3 linked regions of the Mytilus edulis genome follow. The main gene of each other region encodes a partner of the protein of the gene in region 2 in a complex. Links are inferred from orthologs where the notes say so. Each region holds a gene or a part of one and is shown on either strand. Other genes may lie near its edges.

What was found.
Region 1: actin-related protein 2/3 complex subunit 2-like (region 2) and actin-related protein 2/3 complex subunit 4 share a complex: the UniProt entries of both Caenorhabditis elegans proteins name them as parts of the arp2/3 complex. The link is inferred for Mytilus edulis from reciprocal best matches to the Caenorhabditis elegans genes arx-4 and arx-6.
Region 3: actin-related protein 2/3 complex subunit 2-like (region 2) and actin-related protein 2/3 complex subunit 3-like share a complex: the UniProt entries of both Caenorhabditis elegans proteins name them as parts of the arp2/3 complex. The link is inferred for Mytilus edulis from reciprocal best matches to the Caenorhabditis elegans genes arx-4 and arx-5.

Annotation. Positions count from the first base shown.
Region 1 is NC_092344.1:98,208,272-98,219,459, forward strand, and holds the start of actin-related protein 2/3 complex subunit 4, read left to right. Parts: upstream 1-6,789; 5' UTR 6,790-6,860; coding exon 6,861-6,863; intron 6,864-7,956; coding exon 7,957-8,075; intron 8,076-8,351; coding exon 8,352-8,463; intron 8,464-8,896; coding exon 8,897-8,992; intron 8,993-9,705; coding exon 9,706-9,882; 3' UTR 9,883-9,904; intron 9,905-10,298; 3' UTR 10,299-11,188. Other genes in the region: mitochondrial carnitine/acylcarnitine carrier protein-like, read left to right, coding at 1-4, 737-861, 1,463-1,525. UniProt on the Caenorhabditis elegans protein: Functions as actin-binding component of the Arp2/3 complex which is involved in regulation of actin polymerization and together with an activating nucleation-promoting factor (NPF) mediates the formation of branched actin networks.
Region 2 is NC_092345.1:92,659,528-92,670,818, reverse strand, and holds the start of actin-related protein 2/3 complex subunit 2-like, read left to right. Parts: upstream 1-6,340; 5' UTR 6,341-6,434; coding exon 6,435-6,508; intron 6,509-9,233; coding exon 9,234-9,268; intron 9,269-9,677; coding exon 9,678-9,736; intron 9,737-11,211; coding exon 11,212-11,265; intron 11,266-11,291. UniProt on the Caenorhabditis elegans protein: Functions as actin-binding component of the Arp2/3 complex which is involved in regulation of actin polymerization and together with an activating nucleation-promoting factor (NPF) mediates the formation of branched actin networks.
Region 3 is NC_092349.1:81,608,094-81,619,433, reverse strand, and holds the start of actin-related protein 2/3 complex subunit 3-like, read right to left. Parts: upstream 5,583-11,340; 5' UTR 5,348-5,582; coding exon 5,342-5,347; intron 3,974-5,341; coding exon 3,877-3,973; intron 2,806-3,876; coding exon 2,729-2,805; intron 215-2,728; coding exon 146-214; intron 1-145. Other genes in the region: GPN-loop GTPase 3-like, read left to right, coding at 5,713-5,760, 9,987-10,095. UniProt on the Caenorhabditis elegans protein: Functions as a component of the Arp2/3 complex which is involved in regulation of actin polymerization and together with an activating nucleation-promoting factor (NPF) mediates the formation of branched actin networks.

The sequences.
Region 1 (11,188 bases), on a different chromosome or scaffold from region 2:
ACAGGTATGAAATATAATTCTGTAAAATTAGAATACACACAAATATGGGGTAATTAAGAAAAATCTGGAATTTGTATGTGAAACAAAGGTATTGAGCCACAAAGACATGGTTTTAAGCATACTTGGTAAAAATGGCCGATGCTAGCTTTTCACAATACTGAAGTTATTCATTTTATTTTAACTTTTACAAGAACCATTCCTCTGAATCTATCTAGCAAATTGCAACAAAACTTGGACACAATCACCCTTAGAATATTTAGTTTAGAATTGTGTCTCGTGGAAAAGGCCACCATGAAAATAGAACAAAGATGTACACAGCAAAGTTTTTCCAATATCCTGAAAATTTGGTAGTGGCAAACATTTCAGAATGTCAAGAACTGCCTGTTATCCATTTTTATCAAAACTGTCAATTAACTTTGAGAAGTCCTAGTCCTTCAATGGAAAGTTTAGAAATTATGTCAATAATAATATTTGACTTCCAAATACTATTCTATAGATCATATTTTTAAAGTTGTTTAGAAAAAAATATGATAATAAATTCATAGCTTAGATATTGAAATACAGAAAATGAAATAGGTTCAGTTTTTGAAATGCATTTTAGTTTGTTTATGGATATTTTTGCCCAGATCTGATACATGTGATAGATACATCTGATTTACAATTGAAAGTTTACTTAAAAGTTATCATGTATAGTATATGCATATTGCATGCATTTTACATTATATATTTTTTTCAGCTCCTCATGGTAAATATCCAAATGGGATTAGGGATGTATTTAAACAGCTGATGAAAGAAGAAGGATTTTTATCTCTTTATCGTGGTGCAGCACCAGTATTTCTTAGGGCTTTTCCAGCAAATGCTGTAAGTTGTTGATAGATGAAGAACGCATGACAGTTTTCTCTTTAATTCTTTTGAAAGAGAGTTAAATCTTAAATTAAAAAAAACAAGAGTCTTTAACCTCTAAAAGTTTTTAGTCTCCCCTTCCACAAAATATTTAATTAGAATTTTTTGAGCATTTTTTTTAACTTTCAAAAATCCCCCCTGATAACCAATCATATAATTGTTTTAAGCTGACAAAAGTCTTAAAAGTACATTAAATAATGCTTAATAGCTAGAAGATACATTTGTCTTTTAAGGTAAACTGCCATGTAACTTTGGTAATGATACTATGTAGATAAACTTGTCGGTTTTAAAGAGCTAAATTGACAGCCTGTCATCCTTAAAATGGCTTCCATTATCACAATTAAAAAAATAGGTGGCATAAAAGCGAGATAATTTGGAGAAAGAAGAATCCTAAGTGAACTGCCAGTGAACTGAGGATTTTCATGCAAAAAGTTACCCCTTTACCCATTCACAATAATCTAGTAAGATTTCTAATCTACAAATATTGTACATGTATCACATTGAAAACTTAGGACATTAAGCTACATATTTTATAACTTGTTTTTTTTTTCTTTTGCAGGCTTGTTTCTTTGGATATGAGTTGACAATGAAGTTCTTGTACTGGTTGCAACCTGGAGTTTGATGATAATATTGTTATAGGATGTACTAGTTATCAACAGGAGTTTGATAACAATATTATAAGATGTGCTATTAGTATTTTATTTCTCAGAAACACTAATTTTGTTGTGAGATGAAAATCAAAGCTCATTTATACTTTTATAAAGAGTATATTTTGAGTTTGTATAAACATGATTCCAATCCAATTATCTGTATACAATTGTACTTATTTATATTAAATGAATATAAATGTTGAAATGAAGTTATAATAAAAATGTAGCACCATTTAGGATATCAGTGGGAGGATGAATTATGAATTCCTATTTTCTACCATTAAAATTGCAATTGTTATATCCCATCAGCAAGATGTTTCTACAAAAAATAAATTTTAAATTTCATAAAAAAATCTATGCAAATTATAAACTCTGACAATATTGAAAGAATGCCTTTTAGTTGGTGATCCTTAAAAAATATTTATGAAAAAATGGTGATTACCATGCATGCTACATTATTATTTATTTACCACTATATTTTTGAAAGGAGAGGTCTGTGTTGCCTTCAAAAGACCCATCTTATTCTAGTATGTCTATAAACTATAGGAAAGAAAACACATTTTTTTTATAAATGTTGATGTGTCTATTTACACAGCAAGTATCACAAATATTATTTTTTTTACAAAAATAAATATATACATGTACTTTAAAAATTGTTTTTCCTTGAATTAGATATTTCATTAGTTACTTTCTAAATGTAATAGTGTGAAAAGATAAGGTTTTATTTTACAGAAAGTTAGCCATCTTTACTTTAATGCTCATATTTTATCTACTTTCGCTTTTGAATTTCTTCCAATTCTAACAGAAGCGTTCATGTTGGATACTCAAAGGAATAGAAAAGAGGAAAGCTGTAGAAAGCAATCTATTAAGATCTTGAAATTAAATACAGTTGTTTGTTCAACAGGTCAAAAATATAGTATACAAATTCCTGTATAAAACAGACAAATATATATGAAAATGAAAATAGTCACATGAACTCAAAACTGTGTGAGCTTTGACAATTTACATACTCTCCTACTAGACATGCATCACTTATCACACAATAACAATAAAATCACATCAGGCTTAAAGTTTTACAAACAGGAACATGAGAAAATAATATCATATTGAAATAAGTTTACAATAGAAATCAATGAGTTAAATGCCATTAGTGAGTTCAGATAAACCAATTTGTGATGTCAAGCATAAAGCATTTATAAAGTAGGAATTTCAGTCCTTCTTCATTACAATTTACTTATTAGTAGTTTTAGAGTAAAAGACTGCACACAAAGTGCATCAAATGTCCATAGTCTCTGCTGGTCAGCCATATTTCAACCATCTTTTTTTTTTGCCTGTCTTTGTTGTACACACAACATTTAACAAAGAGGTAACATTTATAAGATTGTAACCATGCCCACTTCAAGCAATTTATTCATAGTATGAATTTAAACCAAATATTCAGATAACATGTAGATGGTATGTTACTGCTCGAAAATGGGTTGTTGACAAAAAGAAATTAATTGAATTTAGTTTTAAGCTGCTTATTGTCAGTTTAGAAAAAGATATAGAACAAAGAGGTAATATTAAAATAAAGTATAGACAAAACAGAACAAATCAAATCATTAGGTCCTAATATAACAAGAATATATTTTTTTTCTTTTTCTAACCTATTTAAGTACGACATTGTTTTTACAAATTATGTGCAATGTTACTTACGAATACTTTTGCATGTTAGTTTAAATCTCAATTCATTTTTACATGATAGTATTTTACTTACTCTATCAAGTGCGATTTGGTGATCACTAGTGGTAGTTTGCTTTTGTTGTTTTTCAGTACTTGAGGATCCACATCCCATAGCTTGGTAGGTTTAATACAGTCTCTATTGTCCTTTATTGTAAATTCATAAGAATAGATATATGCTGTTATAATTCACCAAAACAAGACTTTGAAAGGTGATTGGTCTTCATCAAGATATCTAAAAGGGAAATTTAAAGATTTTGTTTGATAATTTTTCCTCTTGCCTTTGACAAGGATTTGATTATATTTGCAGTCCCTCAATTAAATGCCGATGGAATGCCACTGGAATACTGTCGACTGGCATAATTAACATATTCTTGATAAAAAATAGTCCAGCATTTTGACTTATTCAGTTAAATTTTATTTGAGATTGGTTTTTGTGTGATTCTTAAACAAAGTGTGATCTTGAAATTAACCCTTAGCTAGATATGAGTACCACATATACTAGGCGTGTTCAGCTATTAAAAAGAAAATGATGTCAACATTAACAGCTAGACAAGGGTTAGCCATTTGGTAAACTGATGTTATCCACACAAATTCATTCTTATACACAGATAAAAACGAAGAATAACATATTTTAAATCTATAATATGGAATCAAACAGACCTTGAAAAACCCAATTGCATATGCTACCTTCAATTTCTATTCATGTTTATATCGGGCTATATGACCGTCCACAGTCTTCAGAAGTCATCTTGGTGGTTAAGTTAAATGGTGTCATGACTTAATTACTCCTGAAATGCAGAAATATATAATCAAGTTTAAGTTTATAGTATGGGTGTCTTTCACCATTTTGGATTGTAAATAACAGTGCACTAAGGTCCAGATTTTCAATTAAGTTAGCAAAATTTGATTAGGAATGCAGATAAGTAACCATGAATTTTCATTTAAAGGGAGAAATTTATAAGATTTTAACGTATAAATATTACTAATTTTTTTTTAAGTTAGATAAATTTTGCTTAGTTTTTATTTTTTGGAAAGTTTGCTATAGCTTGCTATCGCAACTTTCCATAGGCTTCGGCCTCAACTACAGACTATCGCAATGTTCTGCTCCAAGATAATGTAGTTCTAGTGTTCGAAATCTGATTCTTGGATATTTTGAGTTGCTACTCTAAATCTTTTGAAAAGATTAAAGCTTGAATAAAAAAGGAATGAATGTTCACCGACAATTCAGGTGAATTTAACTTCATTTTAAAAATAAGTATCACAAACACTACTTTGCGGATCAGCCATTGCTTGAAGAGAAAATCAAAAGATATCTAGGCGAGACCGTTTCATTCATGAATATTTTATTAATAAACATTTTCCCGCACTATGTTTTACTCTGTACGATATTTACAACTGTTTATTATTGAATAAGTAAAAGCCCGAGTGTATCGAAAGAGTCCGGTATGCGAGAACAAGTTGATATTTGACCAAGTTGTCGGATAATTGACAAGTGATAATGGTTTGATTTATTTTACAATACACAGGTGATAGAATATAAAATAATCAATAATTAACTGGCTTATGTCTCACGCCAAGAATGAGTAAAGGTAAATACCGGCTTTTCGTCGTATAAGCTTTTTTATAGACAGACACACCTCTAATATTAGTATATATAAGGGTAATTTGGTATAGAAACTTCTTTTTTCTTTATATTTAACTATGTACAGCACACTTTGTGGATGGTTTTTAGTATGTTATGACTTTTAAAATTATATACAGATATGGCTTTTAATTTGGTTATTATTATAAGCTTATTTGATTTACATGTGTGTTATTATGCATGTCAATGACAATAATATTATAAAGATAATAAATGCTAATATGGGTGTAATTTACATAGGGAGTTTAGTCAATGCTTAAAATCTAAATTATCTCTTTCATTTCATATTTATAAAAAACTATGACTTTACTCAGTATGATAAAAATTATATTAAAATTATATATTGAATATAAAAATCATTTTGTGTCATATTTTAAGATATTTGTCCTGTTTTAAAATATAATGGATTACAATATAAAGATATTCTAGCCAATTTACCAGAAAATAAGATAATAAAAAGATAAAAACTGAAAAAGCGACTTAAAGAATAATTAAGATCATTTACTATCATCTTAAACAATCCAATTTCACTTCATGTTAAACAATCCAATATGGATTTATATGCTGATGATTCAACATTGCATTTTCATGATAAAAACATTGAAAAAATAAACAGCATATTGCAAAATGATTTAAATGCTATACAATCTTGGTGTAACAATAACAGTATGAAAATCAATGCACAAAAAACTAAGTGTATGAAATTGGGTTCAAAACAAAAACTTAAACAACTATCAGAATTATGTATTACCGTCAACGAAACATGTATTGAGAATGTCCATTCTTTCAAATTACTTGGAATAGACATTGATGAAAATTTAAGCTGGGAAGATCATGTTGATCGTATATGTAAAATTATCTCATCTAAAGTATCACTTTTATATAAAATTAAAGTATATTTGCCAATACACACAAGGCAACTATTTTATAATGCATATATTCTACCATATATAGACTATTGTAGTTCAGTTTGGGGAAATTTATTACAAAAAGATTCAGATAGAATCATAAAACTTCAAAAAAGAGTAGCAAGAATTATACTGGAATGCGATATTTCTATTCCATCTAATTTCATGTTTTCTTCTTTAAAATGGCTATCTTTTACCAAAAGAATAAAATACCAACAATCAATTCTAATGTATAAAATTGTAAATGGGCTAACACCTGATTACTTAGCAATACTAAATATTGATGATGTGCAACGCCACAACTTACGATCTGTCTCTAATAATGATCTTTTTGTTCCAAGACCAAATACAAATTTTTATAAAAAATCTTTTCATTATTCTGCAACCAAAGTATGGAATAATTTACCACTCGAAATAAAGAAATGTCCTAATGTGGAATTATTCAAGAAACATAGTTATAATCATTTTCTTGAAAATTATATGCAAGTCAACTAATTTGTTTTCCTCTAACAAAACTATATCAAATATTGTCATTTATTACCCTTTGTATATTTCAATGATTGAATTGTGTATATACTAGTAATATATATTGTAAATTAATGTATGAATGTATGAATGTTAACTGTATGCATGTATTTTGTTTGAGGGCCTCAATGAAAATTAGACTATTTCTAATTGAGTTACCCTCTTTAAATAAAGAATTTATTATTATTATTATTATTATAAAATGGTGAATATTTTAAGGTTTAGACTTTATTTGATTCACTAGTAATTTTGAGCTAGCGAGACTTTTATTACTTGCACTACCTCATGATAGTATATATTGGAGTTGTGCTTGTATACGGGTGATTTACACTTTTTCATGATTATATTATCGGAATATTATTTTCTGAGTACTTTTTCACTTTTTTTAATGTCAACAATACTTATAGTTCTTTAGTGCTTTGATATTTAATAACTGGTATCTCCGTGACCCAGTTTAGCGGAGAAGTGCGCAAGTGTTGCAATTACTTCCTGTTATTGGTACAGTACGAGATGGTGGGTGTTGATTCTAAAGCAATTTTATCTTACTGTTCCTTTTGTAGTTACCTGTTTTATGATTACATGCCCGCGTAAGAAATGCACAGTCACATATTTAGTCTGCAACTTCCAATGGAATCTGTTAACTAAGGCATACAGTGGAAATCATTTCATTTCCTGATAAATGTTCTAACCGGAAGCATAGAGAAGCCGATTTTTATGATACATTTATGTCTGTCTTAAACTATTTTTCGTATCCTCTCATCATGTTCTTTACATTTCTAAGGAATTCTCTGTTCCTTACGTAATCTGTTGAAAAGGGGGAGATGCCTGCAATGGTAAATCAATAACCATTGAATATGTGATTTTCGCCTTTCCTCACACATTTCTGTCTAAATTCTGATAACTAGACTGGACTTTTAACCAGATTCAGGGCCTTGATTGGTCTTTATGGTCTCATATGTTGACCTGAAGATCTATCTGCAGGTTTAACTTCCCTCTACAGTGCTCTGACATCCAAATTGGTAACATTGAAATAGAAATAAGATGTGGTGTGAGTGCCAATGAGACAACTCTCCATCCAAAGGGACATAACACCACTACAAACCGTGTATGAAATAAGCCCCGCTTCCCTACTACCTTATATGGAATATAAAGGGATGCAACTCCACTACTAACCATGTATGAAATATGCCCCGCCTCCCTACTAACCTAATATCAAATATACACGGTTTCCATGAGGACCCTTTTAACCAATCACATTCCTAGGAATGTATAGGAGGTAAGATAATACATTATAAACCATGTTCAGTGTTCTCACTACATTTGTAAGTGAGTGTATGAGACTTGGACTTTTAATCTTTAGTCATAAAATTAAGATATTTGCACTAAGTTCATACAACATTTAACAATTTTAATATATCTTTGAACTGACCAGTTTTGAAAATGATTAGACTCTTGGACTTGCATTATTAAGAACCCTGATACACTTGTAAAATAATATTAGGTAAGGTGTGTAGTATAAAGCTGTTTTCTTATAGGAATATGTAAGAATGACTGCTTACTTGGCTGATATTTTGAAACTTATCAGTAAATGGTTATTATTTTTCAGTCTGCTACTTTGAAGCCTTACTTGAATGCCATCAAGCACACTCTTACAGCAGCCATATGTGTCCAGAATTTCAACTCACAAGTTGTTGAACGTCACAACAAACCAGAAGTAGAAGTCAAGTAAGTAAAGTAACCTGTACTTGTCTACAAGTTTGTAAATAACAGAATTCCTCTTACATGGTATGATTTGATAACAAAAAAATTTAGTGACAAGAAAAATTGTATCTTCTAAGTTCCAGTCAGTGACACACTGTCTTCCAGTCTCAAAGAATGAAATTAAACATTAACATTCAAATAAATTATGTAATATTGACACACTGTTCATTCTTATACATTCAGTGTACATGTATAGACAGATAATAACAAAACTAATTGAACCTATCATTTTAATTTCAGATCAAGTAAAGAACTTCTTCTTACGCCAGTTGTGATTAGTAGAAATGAAAAAGAAAAAGTATTGATAGAGGGCTCAGTAAATTCTCTAAGAATAAGTATAGGTATCAAACAGGTAATTATAGCTACTTGTCTTCATGTACATCATAATTTTAATAAAAAGTATGGTATGAAAGATTGTTGTTTAACATTTAGTAGCAAATAACAAATATATTTATTAAGGATGGGAATAAGCTATTGATAGGGTCTGCAAATAAAGTTTCTTAAATAGATAAAATAGAAATAAGGAGATGTGGTATGATTGCCAATGAGTCTAATATTGACCAAAATTCAAATGAAGTGGATGTAAGCAATTGAAGACAACTGTACGACCTAATTTAAGGTTACCCCCTCCTCCCCCCAGGTTATACACATTTAACTGCTAATGGTAAGATGCAGTAATCAAAACAGTAAATTCTAATACACTTGTTAAATGACATCTCAAGAAATGATGACTGTTACTATTTTAAACAATGTACAAATGTAAATAGAAGTTTATATTTTGACAGGCTGATGATATAGAAAAAATCTTATGTCACAAATTCACCAGATTTATGATGCAAAGAGCAGAAAATTTTGTTATTCTTAGGAGAAAACCTGTAGAGGTAAGAGCTGATTATATTAGAATGAAAAATTAAGATGGTTCTGGATTTTTTTCTGAAAATAAGATTAGGCTCTGCATTAAAGTGTGTTTAAAATTAGAGTTGCAACATTAGAAGCGAACTACAAAGATGGGAATAAATTCATAATTCACTTGGAAAATCTATATTAAAAAAAACAACCTCACAGTCTTGAATAGAATTTTCTTTGTTATTTTTATATTGTACATGCACAACAAACATACATGTATACCTTTGTTAATGATGCCCAGCTTTTATTGGCAAAAGCTAGACTAAGGTGTGCATTTTCTTTGCTGAGCATTAACTATATATAAGTTTGATAAATTGTGATTAGGTCAGTTTAAAGGGAACCATTTATAATAAGTCAATAGTATAATATATAAAGTTTTATAAGCTTTGGCATATACAAGTTGCATTTATAATATTATTAAGCCCTGCACTTCATTCATGGTTCATTAATTATATATAAGGTTTAATGTTTTGTATTGTTTAAATATTGCCATTTTAGTTTTAAACAATTGTATTATTAGATCAAAATAACATAAAGAAAAGACCAATCTCAGTACATGTATATTCATAAAGGTGTATTGTGGAGGATTTTAATGAAAATTTAATAACACAATTTTATTATTTTTAGTTCAGTTATTTGTTTCTATAATTCTAACTTTTAACATTGGAATGTTTTAATTTTGTTTCAGGGTTATGATATTAGTTTTCTAGTAACGAATGTACATACGGAAGAAATGTTTAAACATAAACTTGTAGACTTTATAATTCATTTTATGGAAGAAATAGACAAGGAAATTAGTGAAATGAAGATAGCCCTTAATTCTAGAGCTAGATTAAGTGCTGAGGAGTTTCTTAAACGATTCTGATGCAGTCTTTATTTTATAAATGGTAGGTACATGAAGTAAATACATAAAAGATATAAAATGTTTCTCCTTATCTATGCAACAGTGTTTCTTTGTTATGAAACTTTATAAGAGCTAAACAAAATAATAACCTGAAGTCTACTGGCAGAATGCTTTTATTGAGTGGAATGCAAATGAACAATAATCCATTCAAAAAATAGCTGACTATTGGAAAGTGCAACAAATATTCTTATGCCAGGTATACAAGCACACAGTATGCAGTATTTCAAATATCAGCTTAAATCTTGGTCTTTCCTAAAACTTGTTTTAAATAAATACAACTTTCATTGTTTGTTTTGAATATACTGAAGCCAATTTACACTACACTCATGACATAGCTTTATATTGATTGTATAATTTTTTTTATTTTTTATTTTCAGATAGAAAATGGTGCAGCAAATACATTTTAAACCATTCCTTTATGGATACTTGTTCAGAAGAAAGATTAAAGCATGTCTCCTAGATGTATATTCTGTGATAGCTTATAAGGAAATTGTACAACACAGAAATTTCATTGTTAAGCATGTAAATTGGGTTTTAAAATGTTAGAAGAGACAAATTTTGATTCAGTATGAATTCCATAGGTCCATGAATACAATCAGACTTTTATAAAATGATCATTTGGTATATTTCTGGTGTGCATCGTCATTTAATTTGTAAAGTCATATGTATTTATACTATAATGCAAAATTACTATTTCTGATAAAAGAAAAAGAAAATTTGTACATTATTATGAATTAAACATTGATTTATTTCAAGTAGTACAATATACTACAAATAATAAATTTTTGCAGTTGTATATGATTTAAACTGTAAAACATCAAAGATTGTAAGTAGTTTGGAATACCAATATATAATTTTTGGGTAGATCTTTGTTACTAGGAATAATGTGCTGCAATTCTATATCTAAATATCTTCAGGGACAGAATAACATAGGGATTCTAATTTTAAGCATTAATGTTTACTTTATGGATGATAGTTGTAAAACCTATTTTTGCAAGATTTGTTGACCAAATTTTCAGTATTGCACCTTAATTTTGATACTTATTATTACTGTAATGTTATTGTAAAACATGAAGATACTATTTTTCACTGCCTTAAGCACAACCACATGACTACACAAAAGCACTTGACTTCAGATTGTGGAAAATATTATGGTACTTGCTCAAGAAATATTTTTATGCACTCCATGTGTGGGAAAAAATCAAAAGGGATGGGGTTTCAAACCTATTTTCCCTTCATTTTTGCATGATTTGAAAAAAGGAAATAT
Region 2 (11,291 bases):
TAAGGGCAAATGATAGTTTGGTATACATGTAGCTCTATTTAGTTTGGACACTTTAGTTAAGTAAACTGATACCACATAAACTCATTCCCCTAAAAGTCAACTCATAATAATGTTAACTTGCACTACCACTAACTGGTACCATTGCTAATTTGTACCATTTAAAATATCTGCCACAGTATTCTTAATCCAATTATCTAAGGAAAAATCAGCTACACATTCAACTTTTTATAATTTAACAGACTATGGGTAATCTCATCTAAATGAAATATTACGTCAGTGGTTCAATTACATGTACCATTGTTTAGAATTTTAAACCAATCACAACATCTTCAGGGCTCACACTACTTCAGAATTAAAGGGAGAAGTGACTTCTCTTTTTGAAACTGATAGGGAGAAGTGGTGAGATTTGAAAGAGAAGTGCTCATTCGCACGGTGCACTACAATGTTTGGATTTTACTATAGTATAAAGGGTCATATGTAAATAATGTTCTTTTTATATTATTCAATTCATATCTGAGTATACAATTAAAGTAACATTTCAAATTAAAAGTTGTTTAAGTTTTACTAAGGTTCTTGTGAGAAACTACCAACTAAATATTCAATATCTAGCACTAAAAAAAAAAAAAAAATATTTTAAAAAATGTAAAGAAATTATATAATAATATATCAATTAAAATTTAATTCAAATCTATCTTGTATATGAAATTCAGTGTTTCTCATCAAAAAATATAAAAGTTATTAAGCTGGGCCATAATATAATTAATAGTCTCAGAGTTACAAAATGTAAGCAACTTTGAAACAATCCATAAAAAATATAGGGAATTATATACACCAATCAATTAGATGTAACCAAAAGTCTCTTAATGCTAGTGGAATACGTAATTTTTCCCTTTGGGATCAAATTCTTCTGTCAGCTGTTCCTTCCATCCGTGTGTCCGTAGTAATTATTGTAAAAGTACAGATTTAGGTCATAGCTTGTCCGGTTCAGATTCGTAGTTTAGATATCGGTCAATGGCGGACGAATGCAAGAAAATTTACAAAAATAAACGATGTTTGACAAGTTATTTGGAAAGGAACATGACGTTTTTAAAGCAATAAATGGATTAAACATTTACTGGAGGCAACTTTTATCCCGTTTAGATAAAGCAACAAACTTATTTTGCCGCCGAAATTTAGGTTGATGCACGTTTTCAAGTAACAAGCACCGGAACTTGCAGAAATGCACGAAGTGTTAAAATGTTGTATTTTTATCAAATAACCCGCTACACACTGCAAAGACAATGCTTCAACTTCTTTTCTAAAGATAATGAATAGTATTATGTCTAAATTTCTTTAATTATCAATAAAAAATTGATGTTTCATCAACTTTGTAAAATTTGAAAATGTCCAATGACGGAAGGGACTGAAAGCGAGTATCGTCAAGAACAGGGCGACTTGTTTTCGCTTTTGGGGGTCAGGGAAAGCGAAGTGACCGTCGGGAAAGCGACTTCTTCGCCCAAGTCGCCTGGTAACGTAAGCCCTGATCTTGATGAATGCTTTTGAAAATATTACCCAGCAAGTATTAGATTCAGAAATGGTGAATAGGTCATTCTGATTTCAAATTATGTACTTTTTTATAGACAAGTGTATGAGTAATTTTTAAAATTTGATGGACCTGAAATCCTGAATCAGTCGATTTACATTATCTAGAAATTCTGGTCCATAAAATTTTACCAAGTTTAATACTCTTCGGAAGTGACGAATTTTGGTAGTTCTGTGAAATTTTTTGGAAACATAAATATTTGTCCACCTCAAATGGAATCATAACTTATTTTATCATTTCTGTTGGATATTTCTGGAAATATCGTGCAAAAATAAGCTCAAAAAGGGTAGGAATTTGTAACTACGCAAAAATTCCTAACCGGCAAAGCAAATTTCAGGTCAAAATTAGGTCTCAAAGTTCCCCCAAAATTTGCTCTCAATGTCCCGACATAATAAATGGCTTCAGCGTTATGACATCGAAGGAAGGCGTCAAAGAAAAAAAAACAAAATAGCCTGGCCAGACGTGGTATTTATTTGGACTACATAGTATTCAGTACATTTATACCTCTATTGTGAAAAACTGCTTCTATTCAATATGGCTGAACTAACAATGAAGGGGTCCATTTGTAAAGAACCAAAATCAATACTTCGAAGACTTTGCAGTGTTGCTGTGTCTGGCAACACAAAAAGTTCTCTCTTCAGACTCTTGGCTATTTACATTTAAAATGTTTTGGTTGTGTAACGGGAGTGGAAGTTTCCACTGGCTTCGTTTTCCCGTTGTCTACCCAAGTTCTGGGATATTGGACAAAGTACGTAAAACTACGTAAATATAAACAAGATGTTTATTTGAAGACATACATTATGGTTGAACATACGATTACATGAATAAATATACTAAAATACGGTGGTGGCTAGTCTACTTGTCCTTATAACGTTCCATATTTGAAAGCCAAATGATATGAGCGTCTGCTCATTTTAAATCCTTAGTGTAGACTGCCCAGAACCCGGTGAGTGACGTCATACTTATAGTTCCTATGGACAACGAGCCCGGCCGGGCACGTGCCAGAACAGGAAGTCCCGACAAGGATAATTTCATGGCCGGTCTCGGAAGAAAGAGTTACGGAACTATAAGTAATTCTAAAGTTAACCAATATCCCCAAATAAATAGAATATAGACAAGTAAACAAAGTGACCACCATTACACTCCCCCTCTCTTAAGACATAATGTGCCCACACATTAGTCCAAAGATCGGTGAGGTATACTTACCAAAATTTAGAATACAGACACATATAATTATCAACAACAATTAATTTACTGTTAATGTCAATAAATAATTTGATAAATAGTTCAAAGTATTCAATTGTCATTCACTAAATGTTCAAAAGTCACAAATACATCACGAGACATCATCACGGAGTAAGGAATCCAATTATAAAGTTCGAGCGGAGCATCCAGGCACACATCTTGTCCAAGGTTCCAGGTAGGTAAATAAGGTAAAATTCGTCTAGTAGAGGTTCCAAATCTGTAAAGTAGTCCAAGTAAGTGTTCCCCAACATTTATAATTCCATGTGGTTTAGTTACGTTAAACTTATCGGCAAAAAGGCCAATATAAAATCCAATATGTTCCCTCATTGTGGCCAGCTATCCACGCACTGAAACAGTTTCAGTTTTACCACCTATATTCTGTCAGACACTGGAATAAATTAAGAAGCACATTCTTCTTATAAAATCCTGACTCACCAAGAGTCTTTAAAAGTCTATCATACACGAGTACTGCACCACTTGATCGGGTGCCCCAATATGTAATTTTATTGGTCACCGAAAGCATATAGCCCATGGTATTACTTTAACCATATAAAACACACATTTCTATACTGAAATCCATACAAACTGATTGTTTGTTTATTAAATATATTCAAAAATTAGAAAGTCATATAAAACAATTGAACTGTAATAATAAATCATTCCTTGTATTCCAGCAATCCCCAAACAATATTCTTAGTCATGTGGACAACATACCCATGGTGAACCAATTAAGGTTTACAATAAAAATGTATACGCAAAATATACACCTATTCTCGCGCCATTCTAGCACCTAAGGTATTTCCAAAATTGCCTCTATATGTATACACCACCGAAAGCAGCTTCCAACAACAGCTAAGATAATGAGTGTACGTTCTTCTATTATCTTTATTCTAGTCACAACTCGTACCAGACAACCCTATTCCAGCTGTATGACAAAAATGTCATTTTAATCCAAATCCTCGCTATATCCACAATTTCTACATTTACCTAAGCCACATTGCTTAGCAACTGAAAAGATTCAGTATTATTTTCCTCAACTGACGTAACAATCCCACCAAACTGAGATAATTCAGTTTATTTCCAAAGATCAACGTTAAAATAAATATCAAGATATTATATTATAAATATAACCGAGTACAAAAACTGTACTTTTAGTCCTTTTTACAATATCAAAATAAACCGGACAAATTTCCAGTATAATATCCATGATGGCACAATATAGCCTATGACTTACGGTACCACTTTTAAGTTTGAGTATTGTTAATTCCCTCCTTTCCATGCAAGAAAGGTAAATAATTGTTATTACATCCACACTGACAAGACATAGATATGCAGACAATACTGCATGACAGAAATGCAAGTACAAAGTACAAAATGTACTTTTTAATCCAAAACAATTTGAAGTATAATCAAAACAAATTATTTGATTTTCCAAATCCATTTATGACAATAAATATGAATACGAACCAATAAACAAAACTAACAAATTAAACAACTTTTTCATGGTTAGAACGACAATGAGTATTCCCCATTGGTACCTCCATACAAACATTCCTTAGATGGCAGGTGCTTTGACGTCGAAAATATGACGTCATATTGTAAACATGGCGTAAACAATCGCCGACTTCCTGGAAATTGAAAAGCCATAATAAGCTTTCTACCACGATAAAATGCAGCTAAATATTTTATTTTGATGTGGTGTACACAAAAATGTTGTGTTTGTTTTCCTCTTATGCAAGACCAGCATATTTCCTCTGGAACGTGAACAAAATGTTCACCTTGTGCTCCAATTTGGAATTTAAAATCTGGATTTCTAATTTCATTTTCTGAAGGTAAGTCACCTTTAATTGTATTGTTGTAAAAAAACGATATTACATGCAGTACTGGTCATTGTCGGACCGGCACAAACAGCGGAAATGACAAGCAGACGAACAATAAACTGTTCGATTTTGACTCCTAGGGATACAAAAATACCTTTTATTCCGACCATATCGCCGAAATAATGTACAAACACAATGTTTGTTTAAGTTATTGTCCTCAAATATCCCTCGGACGAGCCCCCAATGTAACGGGAGTGGAAGTTTCCACTGGCTTCGTTTTCCCGTTGTCTACCCAAGTTCTGGGATATTGGACAAAGTACGTAAAACTACGTAAATATAAACAAGATGTTTATTTGAAGACATACATTATGGTTGAACATACGATTACATGAATAAATATACTAAAATACGGTGGTGGCTAGTCTACTTGTCCTTATAACGTTCCATATTTGAAAGCCAAACGATATGAGCGTCTGCTCATTTTAAATCCTTAATGTAGACTGCCCAGAACCCGGTGAGTGACGTCATACTTATAGTTCCTATGGACAACGAGCCCGGCCGGGCACGTGCCAGAACAGGAAGTCCCGACAAGGATAATTTCATGGCCGGTCTCGGAAGAAAGAGTTACGGAACTATAAGTAATTCTAAAGTTAACCAATATCCCCAAATAAATAGAATATAGACAAGTAAACAAAGTGACCACCATTACAGTTGTTTACCTCGTTCATGTGCAAAGGTAAATACGGAAATGGAGATAGATAAGGATATATGTACATTTGTATGTCACCGTAGCTATTTATTAGAGTACAATTATATACTAGTACTACACTATATGTTGTGTGTACTATATATTTACTACGTTCATTCATTGACGGACAGTTAGAAAAAGACTTTACTCTATATACTACTCTGCACGAAGTTATTATGCATGCAACCCGCCACTTTTTCTAGCACTATATATACGGTGAACTCGTACTAATGCGAGTTTCACACACTTAAGCATGCACGCTACATAAGGGACACCCTAACTTTTTCCCTACTTTCAGGTAATCACATTTTTTTTAGGCCTTAACATGCATGTACTTCTATCCAATTCATAGTTCAATTTAGAAGGAAACTTCAAGTTAACATTTGAAATAAATGTTTATTATAATTAATATTTTATGTACTTTCAGTGTGAAATAAATGGTTTGCAACATTATATTTCGTCACATATTCAACGCCCTATTTTAATTTACAAAGATTAAGTGGCCATATTACCCTGTGACATGTAATTCTGTTTAAGTGTTAAAATTTTATTTTTCATCCAAGAATGAGTCAGTACACAATGATTTGTGTTATGGCCTGTCTCTCCATTTGTCTCACCGAGTCTCTGTGACCGATGTGGGCGTTTTTTTACCATGGATTTCTTTGAATGACCCATGAAATTTTTCAATAATATTCTTCTACTTTTAAATACCTATGTTTTTAGTATACCTAACTGTTACTTATAACTATTGTCATTCAAAAGTTCTTGATAAAGCCTTAAAGGCAACTTCCGTCTTCCCGGCTGTTTTCAAATCAGAATTAGATTATCCAATAAAATTACCTTTATCAAAACTGCCATCTGGTAAGGCAATTATTTGATTCACACTTAGAGCAAACGCAATAATTTTACAAGTCTCCGGTAACCAGTACAAAAATTGGCCAATGAAAAGAAGTGTTACAAAGGCAAGGTTGGAAATCAACAACAGTTCCGGAATAAGGAATAACCCACCCTTCTTTCAGAGGAATAAGTCACTGCTAAAATGATTTTGCTTGAATTTCATAACCGAATTGTTGAAGAAACACTGAATTTAAGATTCAAAAATGCAAAAGAAGGGTAATAGATTCATTAGATTTGTATAGGGATATAGTTTTAGGGCGTTACAAATAAACCCGGTATAGTACATGCTTCCGTGTTCTTTCGATGTATCACAGTATCAGTACTACCCGTATAATGCAATAAATTGGCATTACACTTACAGCAAAAAATATAAACAATGCAAGATCTATAAAATTGACAATATACATAATTTCATGTTTGCATCACAGCTGAAGATTGACCAATCAGATAATTACATTGTGTTTATCTATTTGAATATTGGAGTTGAAGCGGTGACAAATCTTCGGGTTTTACCATATATAGGTACACAAACTTAAAACTCAATTAATTTTTTGTTGAATCATTAAAATTAAATTTGAGATCGTGTTTTCAAATCTCCTTATCATAATAGACATGTGTTTTAAAAATCTGTGTGATAAATTTTACCGTTTGGTTTTAAATTGGAATTAAAAATTGTATTTTCCCATAGAGTTTGAGGTAAAATCCCGAGAATTTCACCTCCTAGAAATTTAAAGTGCCAGGATGTTCGAAAATATGTATTAACAAAATCGTAGGATGACTTGTAGTCCTACAATGTAAGTCTGGAATGCAACTCGACTTTAAATAAAGAATTTGATGTACATGTACACAGTACACAGTACAGTAGTTGTCATTTGTTTATGTAATTCATATGTGTTTCTCGTTTCTCGATTTTTATATAGATAAAACCATTGGTTTTCCTGTTTGAATTGTTTTACAGTAGTAATTTTGGGGCCCTTTATAGATTGTTGTTCGGTGTAAGCCAGGGCTCCGTGTTGAAGGCCGTACATTGACCTATAATGGTTTACTTTTAATAAATTGTTATTTGGATGGAGAGTTGTCTCATTGGCACTCACACCAAATCTTCCTATATCTATAAATTAAAAAAAAATTAAAATAGTATCTTCGTCTCATTGGTTATTGCACTATAGACGTATTTACACTTGTATGGAAATTTGTCCGCCATTACGTAGAATCACACAGGTTCCCGTAAACTTTGACATAACAATTCAAAAAAATTGACGTCACAATAAAAAAGTGATTGTTGCTTGACATCAAAAGGTTATTCGGAGGCGATCTACGGTCATTTGGAGACAAAATTCAGCTAAATACCTAAAGTGTAAATACGTTTATTGAGAATGCATTGTGACATCACAATTTCCATTAAAAAAGAATGCATTAAAATTTATATGAATTCATATGATATACGAAAAAACATGATCTGACCAAATAATGGCTTCTAAGAAGTTTCCACTTCACAACCTGGGCAGTTTGACCGCAGGTTGTTTTGCCCACACTATTTTCTATTATTCTTAACATTAACTGTTTAGACAAAAGTTTGTTTTGATAAGGCCTAGGAAAAATTTATGATGATTTCCCCTTTCATTACTCATTAGTCCAAATAGTTTTGACGTCTTGAAAGGTTATTTAAAAAAAAAATCTGTGACCCCTTCCTATTACAATGCTGAAACCATTTTTCCAATTGGACTTTGAGATAGAATTTTCTGCAAGTATGATTAAGACTTTAACAAGTTTTTGTGTTGATTTTAGTGCTTCATTAATATAAAGGTTTACAACACCAGGATTTCCCCTGGGTCAATTATTTTTTTCGCCACCTCTTTGGCCAAAACAATATTTTTTTTCGCCACATTATTTTTTTTTTGGCCAAGTAACACAAATATATTTTTCTTTTAAAATTTTCCTTTTTTTTTTCGCACGTGTGTCACTGAAACGACTTTGAAGTACCCACTCAAATCAATTATCGATATCGAAGTTAAATGATAGTTTTAAAATCAGAGACCTTTCTGGCTTTTGTACATTTTTTGTCATAACAACAGTTTTCTTTTCTGGACTATCATTAAAAGAAGGAGAAGAGTCGTCAAAATTTTGCTTCAAACATGTGTGTCGCAAAGTGGTTAATAATCCTTGATGAAACATGTGACGGGCGCCATTTAACCATATCATTTTGTCAATCAACACCTTTATTAATTAGTCCTTTGATGTCGATTGCTATCAAATGCAATCAGCTGATTATTGATTTTCTGTCAAAATCTTATCGAGTTCAAGGTGAATTCCGAGAATTGTCTGATCAGGTAAATTCCGAGAAACCTGAAATAAAAAGTAAATAAACGAGATGGTTGAAAATAAATAGTTATATATATTAATTTCGCCAAATTCTTTCGCCAATGACGAATTTTAATCGCCACAATTATTATTTTTTCGCAAATTGCTAAAATGGCGACCGTCAGCGGAAACCCCGTACAACACAGAATAGACTTTAAACAATTAGTCTGTTACAAACCTAAGTACAAAATTTTTTTATGAGAAGTATGGAAACTAACACTTCATCTAAAATTTATACATCTGATGTGTTGATTCCATTTTAGTTTCCTTTTAACATTACATATTTGCTTTAGATATTATTCAGTCTGTTGAGATTGAGCTCTATGTTCATCATGTTTATGTTTATATTTGAATCACTTCAGTTTTCTAATATGAATGTACTTGGGAAAACTGATTAAAACTACAGTAAAAGAACCTTCAGTAGCCTAACTACCCAAAAGTAAATTTTGTTCTTTTGCATAGTATATTGGTACATGAACTATATACTGTAAATCACACTTTAATGTTGCTGCACTTAATTCAAGCCTCCTTTAGGGCATCGTCTTAGTGAAGTTTTATTTTATTTATTTTTTTATTTTAGAAACAAACCAGAATCAATTGATGTCACTGTTGCAGGTACGTTTTTTTTATTTCAATTTGATCTCTTGTGAAATCTGTAAAATCATAAGATAGTTTTAATACACTTTTAAATATGTTTAAAGGTGTAGATGTATATCATGTATAGCAAAGAAAAAGAATATATCTAAAATATTTCTCTGCACTTATCATGCTTATTCATTAATGTTAACAAAATTACTCATGACATCAACTTATTTCGGCTGTTAAATAAAATAAACACAGCATCACTTTATTTTCATAAATTATTATTGCATATGTGCTATCTTTGTTTTTTTTACTTATGCATCCTAAAACTTCATGAAAATCACTCCAGATGCAAGATAATATTTGTATGACAGTGTAATCACTTAAATAGTTTTTTTTAACATTTTTTGTGTTAATTTTTTGTTTCAATTATGTTTTACAGATTTCGATGGAGTTTTATTCCATATATCAAACCCAGAAAATGACAAAACCAAAATAATAGTAAGTATATGTGGGCTTATTTATTGGTTTTGAGCCTTTTGTGTCTCAAGAAACCATTTAATTACTTGAGAGACAGGCTTTTTCTTATCTTACATTGACTTCATTTTCAGGGTTTATTTGTCTATGATCAGTTTCCCCAACTTTTTCCAGTTTATCAGATACTACAAGCAACAGGTTAACTATATTTGGATTGTAAGGTGTACATGTCTGTCTGGCCTGGTGCATCTGACCTTGACCTCATTATCACAGAACATTGATAAGTTTACTTAATACATGTAGTTGTAGTAAAACATTCATGTTACAGACTTTCAACATGAATTCAATAACAAGTAGCCTAGTTAGATATTTCAGTGTGTGCTCTCTTATTAAAACTTTTACACTTTTCAAATATTGGGTGAAATAAATGATAGTTAGACAATATACATATAGTGTCTTGTAATATGAAATTTATTTGTATGAGGCTTAGAAACGGGGGAAATGCAAGGTTATACCGAGCATTTCCCTTGTTTCGTGCCGAATACAAATAAATTGCATATTTCAAGACACTATATGCATATTGTTTTTATACTGAAATCGATAAAAAAAATAAAAATATGTAACAAATATTGTTACAAAAAGTGTTTGGAATTTTCCTCTTGTGGTACCATTTTGGGGTATTTCCCTATGAGCGTAGTCTAGGCGGTAAAACATTGACAATTTAAGGAATTAGAAAGGGAAAATGAATTTAATTAATAATATTTAATAAACATGCTATACAAATTACCAATTTGAAGACATAACAAGTTAAGATTTATAAAGGTTTGACCATTGTTACTACACGTTGTCATGGTTGTGACGTGACGTTGTTGATGAAATACAATAGTTCCGGTAAGTAGGCGGGGCTTATAGGTTAGTTGAGGTCATTGGCGTATAAAACTAACGTTTATACGTATAGCTTTATCTGTATAGCAAAATAGCTGATTGCAGTATAATATGCAATATAATGTCAATAGGTGGTTATCATTTCTAATGTAAATGTTGATATCAAACAAGGGAAATTTTATCACTTAGCTAAGAACCAATATTTATCAAAAATTTCATAAATAATGCATGGTGTATGTATCTGTTATAAAAATAGGTTGAACTACAAATCATGAACAAAAGTAAATAACTCCAACTCAAATTTTTAAAATTCAATGTTTTAATTTAAAAGACACATAATTGCAAATTAATTTAGCAATCTTTTCCCTTCAGTGCTCACAAGCTTGTTGATTAATTCAATGTTTTAACCATGGTATTTTCATATTAAGTTTATGAAATATAAGATAAATGATACAATTCATCTGCCTTCACCATCTGAACCCCACTTACCCAATTATTATAAGTATAACCACATCCTTTGCTTGTCTTATTATTAATTTTGATATTTCCCAAATGACTAACTTGTGATGAATATATTTTAAAATGAGCAATGAGTATACCTGTTTATATTTTAGGTCAGTATTTCACTGAAATTTTACAAAGACTTAGAAGAGCATGGTGCTGAGGATGTAAGCATTAATAAATTTTATTGTTA
Region 3 (11,340 bases), on a different chromosome or scaffold from region 2:
GGTTGTTGTCTCTTTGACAAATTCCCCATTTCCATTCTCAATTTAATCTGTCTAATTTTCTGATAAAATTATGTTTATTCTTTGTATTTACTTCAGACATGCTGTTATAGCCTGAGATGTGTATATAAAAGTTTTAATAACTTACTCTCTGCATTTTCTTCAAACATTCTGTTACATACAGTGTTATGTAAATAAGTGTTCTATCAGCCTCACTCTGAAAAGTATAAAATGAAGCCAAAATTTGTTAATTGTCAATGATTCAAGATTCAAAGTTTTATTTAGAGTCGATATTCACTAAACTACATAAACACAAGCTCTAGTGAGCTTTTCAAATCGACTTATAACAAAATACAATACACACACAATATAATACAATACACACATACAAAAGTCATGAAAACAACACACTTTTAAACATATAATGCATAGTAAGATACCATAAATGACATATATAAGTTAAAAGCATAGTACACTTAAAACATAGCACACTTAAAACATAGCACAAGTTAGTAATAAGATTGCACAAAGCATATAGTCACACAAAAAATATAATAAAATGAAACAGGCACTGGCATGAGCTGTTACTTGGATCCCATGTTTGTATCAATGTTAGAGCCTTCAATAATAGCAATTATTAGTTTCATCTGTTTTCTAATTATAAAACTTTGCTAAATGTTGATAAAAACTACTAAGATAAGTTTTTCATAAGATTTTTGCCTAATTCCATGACACAATTTTCTCAATTAAATTTTTTAAATATATCTATTCTTGTTTTTTTTCCCCATAATAACTACAGTGTATATCAATTCTTTGAATATCCTATACACTAAACATTTCATCTATAACTTTTAGTTCAATTTGCCAGAAATATTAATTTTTAATGCTTGGCTTGATATATAAATGTATAATGGCACTTTTCATAAAGTTTTTTTTTGAAAATTAGACATGAGCCACAGTTTTACTAAAAAGGGTATATCTAAATATTAATGTGAAAAAAATCCTAATGAAAATAAACATAAGTTTCAAAAAAATAAATACTGATGGGTAAGAAGCTAATTATATAATATCTTGTAAACATGTGGAGGATGTTACATGGCTGGTCTATGACACTTTTCTATTTCTGAATTTTATGAACTTAATAATAGGGTATTATCATGCATTAACACTTGAAATACCATGCTAATACAAAAATAATAATTTATTTGGTATTTTTTAAGGGCATACAATACAGTTACAGGGGAGGTAATGATGTTGCTAACATAAAATGTTACTTTCGCGACTGATTTTTATCCTTCAAACTGATTTCACTTTAAAACGAGTACATGGACCCCTCTTTTTCAAAGTGTAATTATCACTGATTATGTATGAAGATTGTTTGTACCAATTATAATAAAAAAGTCAATATTGAAAAAAAAATAAAATATACCGCAAAAAAAGACTTTTCATGCTTTTATTTCCTGAAACTTTGTAGAAATTTATAACTTCAGAAGAACTGTTGTACATATTAAGAACATATTAATGGAAAGAAGATTTTTATAACATTGCTACAATATCCCGCTTGTGTTTATCTGTTGAAATATAAAAGTGAGGTATGCCTATCAAAAGGATAGAAATGTCCAAAGAACTGAAATTTTAAGTAAATGTCTAAAAATGTTGACCCCTTTTATCTCTAAAAGTAGCACATGAAGGTATATTTTATATTACATATTTGAATTGCCTAGGTGAAAAATTCCTTGTATGCAAATTTTCTTAAAAAAAATCATTATGGGATCGAAACTGTATTGTATGCCCTTTATAAACACCTACATGTAAATTAATATCATTGCCTTAACACAAGTCCATCAACTTAAAATGACATTATCATGATTATCACAAACTTTAACATTATAACTATGCAAAAGTTTTAAATTTAATGAACCAACACTGAAAGTGAAGAGCTAAACATTATACATGGAAACAATTAGCCAAAAAGGTTATAAAAATAAAACTGAATAGCAAATATCATAATCTTACATTTGTACCATATGTGAACCATCTTCACTGACCTTATCAGAATCATTATTAAGCTAAAATAATCTACATGGAAATGAGATGAACCAGTACTTATACGATTGTACACCAAATATCTCAGAATTATATGACTGTACACCAAATATCTCAGAATTATCAATATACAATTGTACACCAAATATCTCAGAATTATCAATTGTAGTTCCCTCAAACCAACCTAATCACAAATTAATACATCATGCCTAAGTCTTTCCATCATGCTTTTTTGAGAATAGACAAAAAGTTGTCATTTCTAAAAATATGGCTGGTAATAAAATTTAGAATCTTAAAATTGGGGATAAGTTGAGTTTGAGATAAGATAAGTTGGCCAAATATTTTCTCCAGGTAATGATTTGTTAAATCAATGATTAAACGAAGGATGATAGACAAAGATAGTATCTCTTATTGTAAAAGGTAATCATTATTGGTGACGTCACATATAACGAAACACAACTTTCTGCAAATCTTTGAAAAGAAATGATAAGATTTATCAGAGAAAAAGGTTCTACCACTTGTTGTATTGGTGGAAATTATATTTCAACCCTCCATATCAACAAAATAAAATAATCCATAAAATCAATCACTGTGAACAAACTTTTACTGTTACTTTTGAAAAACAAAACAAAAACACTTATTTAGTTTTAAAAGAAAACAATCTTTTCTACATAGCAATTCTCACCTTGATTTCATAATTTCTAAAAAATATATTGGCCTTGAAATAATAAATAGCTTCATCTATAATGTCTGAGTCACTACCTGAAATAAACATACAGATTTTTATAGTTCATTCTTATGTTGTACTGTTATATCACTGTCCCAGGTTAGGGGGAGGTATGGGATCCCGCTTAACATGTTTAACCCTGCCACATTATTTAAGTATATGCCTGTCCCAAGTCAGGATCCTGTAATTCAGTGGTTGTCGTTTGTTTACGTGTTACATATATTTGTTTTTCGTTCTTTTTTTTATATAAATAAGGTCATTAGTTTTATCGATGAATTGTTTTACATTGTCTTATCAGGGCCTTTTATAGCTGACTATGCGGTATGGGCTTTGCTCATTGTTGAAGTCTGTATGGTGACCTATAGTTGTTTATGTCTGTGGCATTTTGGTCTTTTGTGGACAGTTGTCTCATTGGCAATCATACCACATCTTCTTTTTTATATACAGATGAAAACATCATTCAATTTGTTTATTTTGTAAATCTTCTTATGTCTGAATTCTATAGTGCATGTTAAATTACTAAATTTGCAAATCAATAGATTTTTTATCTGTATATAAATGATATATCAAGAATATATTGAAAAAACTTAATGTGGTGGCAATAGCATGAATACAAAGTATAAAAGTTTGTTTACATGTCTAAGTCTGATAAGTTACATGTAAATGACATAATTTGATAATATAAAAGCACTTTTAAATTGAGATTTGATTTGTTTACATGTATGTCATGTATGCGTAGAATTGCATTGATGAAACATGTGAAAAAGGTTCTGCCACTCAAGACTGACTTTTATATTAAATATAGAGTCTAATATTGACAGAAACTTAAAAGAAAAAATATAAAATTTATGAATTTTAGTACTTACTAATACAGTTGAATTCATATACATGATATATAAATAATAATTATAAAGTAAACTGAAGTAAGCCTAGAATTAAAGTTCTGATGAAATGATAACATTTTGTCAACCCCCGAATTCATATATCTAAGTAGTGAAACTAAATAAGATCATATTTGATAATGATGTCTTCTTAAAAATGTAAAATTGACATATTGTGTAAAATGACTACTTTGTAAATTTACATTCTTATGTTTTAATACATACTGTCTTTTGGTGCTGGTCCTTTGTAACTTGTTCTTAGTGGCACCAATGCTACATTTCCTATAAGTTTAGGAGGGTTTGTAAACTGTGAGTGATAAGCCTGTAAAATACAATAACACAGTGTTTTAATATACACTTTCACAAGGCAGGCACCCTATATCTAAATCTAATCTTCCTTGCTATCCCAACTAGAACTTGAACTGTAAGCTATTGCTCACGATTGGTACCCCTACTGTCAGTGAAGGCTATAACTATAGTGACAAAGTAACCAGATACTCCGCAGGGCACAGCTTTATACAATCACAGATCTCGATCTCAGATCAGTTGGGGCAAGTATTGACACAACATTCAAGCTGGATACAGCTCTGAATTTGGATTAAGATTAAATACATGTAGCTGACAGAGAATGAACGTGGTCTAATGAACTCAATTTTTTTTTTGCTTTTGAGCAATTCACTATGCTGTTGAATATTAATCCCCCCCCCCAAAAAAATGTTTAAAGAATTTTTTTTTTCACCTCCCCCTTTCCCATATGCCAAAAATAATCTCAATTCAAATTTCTAATGAAGTTTGCAACAATAACTACTCATTTACTCATTGCAGTTCTTTATTTCCTCACAAACAATCTGCTTGACTTTAGTTATCCTCGTCACATTTATTTTCAACTGTTTTTTCAAGTGATGTAATTCTTTTCTCATAACTCTCCATTATATGTTTGCACCTTTTTTCTATCTCAATATCGGTAACTGCATGTTGTTCCATGACTATCCTGCATTTTCCACAAAACCACATTGCATCTGTTTTACATAACATGCTGTATTCCGCTTTTGTTTTCTTAAGACAGGTTGTGCAAAAATGTTCCTTACACCTTTGGCATTCCATAAGTTGAGCCTCTGGCTCTTTGAAGATTTTGGTACATTTAGCGCATGTCCATGCCTCCTCCTCGTCTTGACTTATTTTTTGTGACGATTTGGGACCTGTTGTACTGCTTTTTCTAGTTGATGCCATACTTTTTAAATAATAAAAATAGGGCTTATCTATTTTTTTTTACCTGGCTGAGGAAATTGCATAAGGCTTCCTTACACCAATTTCATTTGAAGTACTTTATTTTGTTCTATTTTTAATTAAAGAACGAGGGGTTCCCTATCCTTGATTGTTGTATTTCAAACGAAGCCAGACTATCCTAATTGTATTTTGGTTTAAAGGACAAGGCTGCCCTATCCTTTACTAAATTCGATTGTCAAATGGAGCTAGACTATCCTATTGTTGACAGGGCTTCTCTATCACTTGTTTAATTTCTTTCGGGACAAGGCTTCCTCATCCGTTTGACATATTATGAAAATGTAGACTGCACTCTCAAATGATAGAAATATGGCATGCTATGTTATGATAAAAAGAATACATGCGAATAAATATAAACTTAATTCATTAAAAAGTATCCTATATGATATGAAGACAAATTATTTACTGGCATTTTCCTTTTTCAATGTTTCTGTTACACCCCAATCACTTCCTTGAGAGGCCGCTTCAAACAACTACAAAAATAACTTAAAAAATGTCAAGGAATACATCCAAATATATTTCCTTTACATGAAAAATAATCTATAAAGGTACCAAACTGCTTTTTTTATAATAATAAAATGTAAAAAATAGATACATTCCCACCTAAAAATTATATTATTTTGATGTGTCACAAGCGGCAACGGTTTGACAAATAACCGAAAAAAGATTAGTAGAAGCTCACACACTTGAATTGTATTTTGTATTGCACCATAAGGTCCGCAAAATAGTCAAAAAATAACATACGGTTCCGCAGCTAGTATTGCACTTGAATAAGAAATGCCACGATATGGACAATTAGTGATGGGTCCGGCTGGAAGTGGAAAGGTAGTGACGGGTTTTAATTTTGGTCAACTCAAGTGTACAAATATAATTTTTCTCATATAAACTGCTTGTGGTTTCTGTATAGGAGGGACGAAAAATACCCAAGGGACAGTCAAACTCATAAAACGGAAAATAAACTGACACACTAAATATACTGATAAGTGATGCAGTGCTACAGCCTACATAAGGGTAGTAATGGGGTACCCTCATGACATATATAGGTAAAAATTCTTGCCAAATGATGTTAACAGTAATTTTTAGTGCATATCAGCTGAATTTGATGAAACAAGTTTTTTTTCCCAAAAATAAGGGTAACGATTATTATTTGAGACATCTTACGAATCATGATAAGGAAATTTTGACAAATCACGCTAAAATTTTAACCAATTTGATGCTAACGTTAGTCGAAAATGACTGTTTGACGCCTCATGGTAAAGGGGTATTACTAACCTCATACATGTACATGTGTATGTAAGTTCTGTTAAATATACTGATTTATTTTGCTACTTTAAAACTGAACTCTGTGGAAAACTGCATGAAGAATCCTTTTTATTAAACATTCTGAGATCAGAACTATGTCTGAGGGTGGTAATGCACTTTACTGTCATGTGTCAAACGGTCATTTTCAGCTACTGTTAATGTCAAATTGGTTAAAATTTTACAGTGATTCCTCAAAATGTCCTTACAGTGATTCGTCCGATGTCTCAAATAATTATCGTTACCATTATTTTTGAAATAAATTAGTGAGATTCGTCAAATTCAGGTGATTTTTTATCATCTAAACATTCAGGGGACTAAATAATGAATAAGTGATTTAAAAATCACTTATATCATTAAGTCCCCTGAATGAGTAGCAAATTTGAAGCTTTGTCTCCAATTGTAATTTTGTAGTTTTACCAAAATTTCAAACACATAGGTTTAAATAATATCTTTTCATTAGTAAAATTGAAAAAAAATGTATTTTTTGCTTCTTTGAAGTGGAAAGGTTTATGCCTTTGATGCTATCATTTAGCTGCAAATTCTATTTTAGTTGAAAAAATGCTGTTATAATGGCTTTACATAATGAACTGATACTTTCTTGACAGATTTTTCCCAGCAGTGGGAGTATTTTTCCTTTAAAGTTCAAGGTTTCATCTTTCAGATTATGTAATAAAATTCTACTGTTCGGATAAAAATTTCACTGTTCGGGGATGTTGAAATTAGTGGGGGTTATTAAAATATTGATAGTTAAAGAAGTGATTTTTGGGAATGAAATTGAGGTATGATAAATTAAATCACTTGTTCTAGTGATTACTTTGTACTACTTAAATAGGTGATTATTAAAGAAAGACAACTCTTAATTCCAATCTTTATGGAAATAATGCTACTTGAATCAGTGATTTAGAAAATCACTCATTTAAGTAAGTCCCCTGACTGCTAAAAGAAAGTGTACATTTTATTGTCATGGACTAAAAATTACCATTAACTTCATTTGGCAAGAATTTTTACCATTATCTATCATGAAGGTACCCCCATTACTACTATTTGTATCATTATTTAATATCTCTGTGTCAATATATGTTTCTCACTTGTAACCTATAAAGTTTGCTGAGGCATGAGGTTGGTGCATCGATAACATTTCCAGGTAGAAAACTTCAGTGACTGAATTTTTGGCTCTCCCTTGACAGTCACATCATTAGTAAGTATGGTCTGACTACCCTCATGTCTGTGTGCATGGTTTGGGTCACCCAATTAGGCAGAAATTATCTGTGTCTGTTTACTCATTCAATATTATAGAATTTTATTTAACTTTTATACAAGTGAGAGGTTTAGCTAGCTATAAAACCATTTTCTACATTTTGAAGTTAGGAATATGTCAGTTGTTTCCATTCATTCAATGTTTAAAGTAAATAAGTAAGATGTGTTGGAGCTTTAAATTTTGCCATTTGATATTAAGGTTCTTTCTGAGTTGAATTTTCCTTGGAGATCAGTATTTTTTGTTATTTTACTTTTAAGTAGCTTACCAAAAGACATATATTCTTGACTATAACATAAATAACAATATAAGCTTTTTTCTTAAAACTTTTGTATCAAGGTCACGAGCTTCAGGTATGTATGTATGATCATTTAAAAACATTGTTAGGCAATGCTTTGTTTCTGAAAAAAATCAGTAGATTTTTAGCTCACCTGGCCCGAAGGGCCAAGTGAGCTTTTCTCATCACTTGGCGTCCGGCGTCCGTCGTCCGTCGTCCGTCGTCCGTCGTCGTCGTCGTCGTCGTCCGTCGTTAACTTTTACAAAAATCTTCTCCTCTGAAACTACTGGACAAAATTAAACCAAACTTGGCCACAATCATCATTGGAGTATCTAGTTTAAAAATTGTGTCCGGTGACCCGCCCAACCAACCAAGATGGCCGCCATGGCTAAAAATAGAACATAGGGGTAAAATGCAGTTTTTGGCTTATAACTCAAAAACCAAAGCATTAAGAGCAAATCTGACATGGGGTAAAATTGTTTATCAGGTCAAGATCTATCTGCCCTGAAATTTTCAGATGAATCGGACAACCCGTTGATAGGTTGCTGCCCCTGAATTGGTAATTTTGAGAAAATTTTGCTGTTTTTGGTTATTATCTTGAATATTATTATAGATAGAGATAAACTGTGAACAACAAAAATGTTCAACAAAGTAAGATCTACAAATAAGTCAACATGACCAAAATGGACTGTTGACCCCTTTAGAAGTTATTGCCCTTTATAGTCAATTTTTAACCATTTTTCGTAAATCTTAATTATCTTTTACAAAAATCTTCTCCTCTGAAACTACTGGACCAAATTAAACCAAACTTGGCCACAATCATCATTGGGGTATCTAGTTTAAAAATTGTGTCCGGTGATCCGGCCAACCAACCAAGATGGCCGCCATTGCTAAAAATAGAACATAGGGGTAAAATGCAGTTTTTGGCTTATCACTCAAAAACCGAAGCATTTAGAGCAAATCTGACGTGTAGTAAAATTGTTTATCAGGTCAAGATCTATCTGCCCTGAAATTTTGAGATGAATCGGACAACTCGTTGATAGGTTGCTGCCCCTGAATTGGTAATTTTAAGGAAAATTTGCTGTTTTTGATTATTATCTTGAATATTATTATAGATAGAGATAAACTGTAAACAGCAAAAATGTTCAGCTAAGTAAGATCTACAAATAAGTCAACATGACCAAAATGGTCTGTTGACCCCTTTAGGAGTTATTGCCCTTTATAGTCAATTTTTAACCATTTTTCGTAAATCTTAGTTATCTTTTACAAAAATCTTCTCCTCTGAAACTACTGGACCAAATTAAACCAAACTTGGCCACAATCATCATTGGGGTATCTAGTTTAAAAATTGTGTCCGGTGACCCGGCCAACCAATCAAGATGGCCGCCATGGCTAAAAATAGAACATAGGGGTAAAATGCAGTTTTTGGCTTATCACTCAAAAACCAAAGCATTTAGAGCAAATCTGACATGTGGTAAAATTGCTTATCAGGTCAAGATCTATCTGCAACAACAAAAGAAAGAGAGTTTTTAAAGACCTCAGCTGGCTATACAACCCTTGCACAATCAACTGAATTTTGCAGAAATCATTAATAGGATAGATTGCCCTTATATGATAATTTTTTATTACCTTTTTGTTTTTTTTTGGCAAAGTGGGGGGGGGTTGCGCAACAACAAAACTACTTCACAACTTTCTCATTACTTTGCATTTCTTGTTAGATAAATTTTACAAAAATTCTCCCCTGAAACAACTGTTGAATTTAAACAAACTTGGTTTAAATCACCACTAGGATATCCAGGGACCACTGTGTATGATGACCCTGCCTGCCCACATGGCTGAAATTAAACATAGGTTTCAAATGCACTTTTTAGTATTATATCTCTGAAACTAAACGACAGTACAACAGTTGCATTTATCATGCAACAATTGTAAATAAAAATATCAGGTGAGCGACACAGGGTCCTTGGACCCTCTAGTTCTAAGTTTTTTACCAAAACCTAGTTTTTAAATTTAACAGAAGTAAAACCATACTACGATACACATTTTTATTGATATTTACAGATCTTAATTATGTTTGTACCTTGTGAAGCAGTTGTTTCTTATATTGAAAAGTAATATAATTTAAACATGTTAAAAAGTTGGAACTAAAGTGTGAATCTTGATTGACAAATTTGCATAAAACTATGCAATGTATTATACAACATTATTATATTTCAGTCTACATACTGCAGCAATATGGTAAAACATGCAGAAGTCATCAAAAGAACAATACATGTTGTCAATCTAGATCCCGCTGCTGAACATTTTGATTACCCTGTGTTAGCAGGTACTTTATATATATTCTGTCATATTTTTGATTGCTGAACATTTTGATTGCCCTGTGTTAGCAGGTACTTGTATATATTCTGTCATATTTTTGATTGCTGAACATTTTGATTGCCCTGTGTTAGCAGGTACTTGTATATATTCTGTCATATTTTTAATTGCTGAACATTTTGATTGCCCTCTGTACAGTCGGCGTAACTGTTTGACATGAACTTGACTGATAGGTGAATTATCGGTGATGGATGTTTGACTGATTGATGAGTGATCGGTGACCCATAGAATTTGTCAGATAAAGTCAAACAAGCTATGTGAAAGTAACTGTGACAATGGTCAGCGATCGATCAGTACATTAATTTTATGCACCAATCGGACGGATACATATATATTTAAAATTCTTATGCAAACGGAACTCTACAGTGTTTACATTCGATGAACGCTGACCTCATGAAGACACATTTATGCGTTAATTTGTAATCTACTTAGTTGCAATAACAAATAAAAAAATAAAAATAACTTTTCACTTATCATATGTATTACTTCATATTCTTCTATTTAGATTTTAGCTAAATAAATAACATAACTGCATAATAACCATATCCTCAGAATATTATCGTACCAGGTAAAATGTTGTCGTTTAAAACATGGAAGTAATATTGAAATATAACTTCCATGTTTAAAATAAGTACTATATTTAGCAATGTTATGTCACTAGAAGATGAAAGTAAAAATATTATGATATTAAAGACGCATGCTTTATTTGTGATGATTAAAAATGATGTTTTAATTATGGTTTCTGATCAACTTAATTTCTTCTTTGGTAAAAATTAATTCAATTTTAATTGTAATTTTTTTTTAAAGTCCTCAAGATAAGTCTTAAGTCTTTTCTTGTAAACTTTTGCAATTTTTTTTTTTTTTGGAATAAGATTGCAGTTATTTCTTTAATTCAATGTAAAATTATAAACCGCTGTATGATTTTAGTACTTTTTGTACATCAGGATATTGTTTGCTTTTCCTCAAATATGATGACTTTCAGGGAAATGATAATAAATTATTTACGCGTTGCCTAAAATGCAAATATTTCTTCTCATATTTGAAATAATGCCACATTAATTGCAAACAGGCATTAAAAATGCCTATTTATAAGTTATTTTGTATCAAATGTGAATATTTGAATGATAATATATGCATAAACTTTTGTTTTTGTTGAACAAGATACAATTATTTGTTCATTTTTATGGAAATCTTT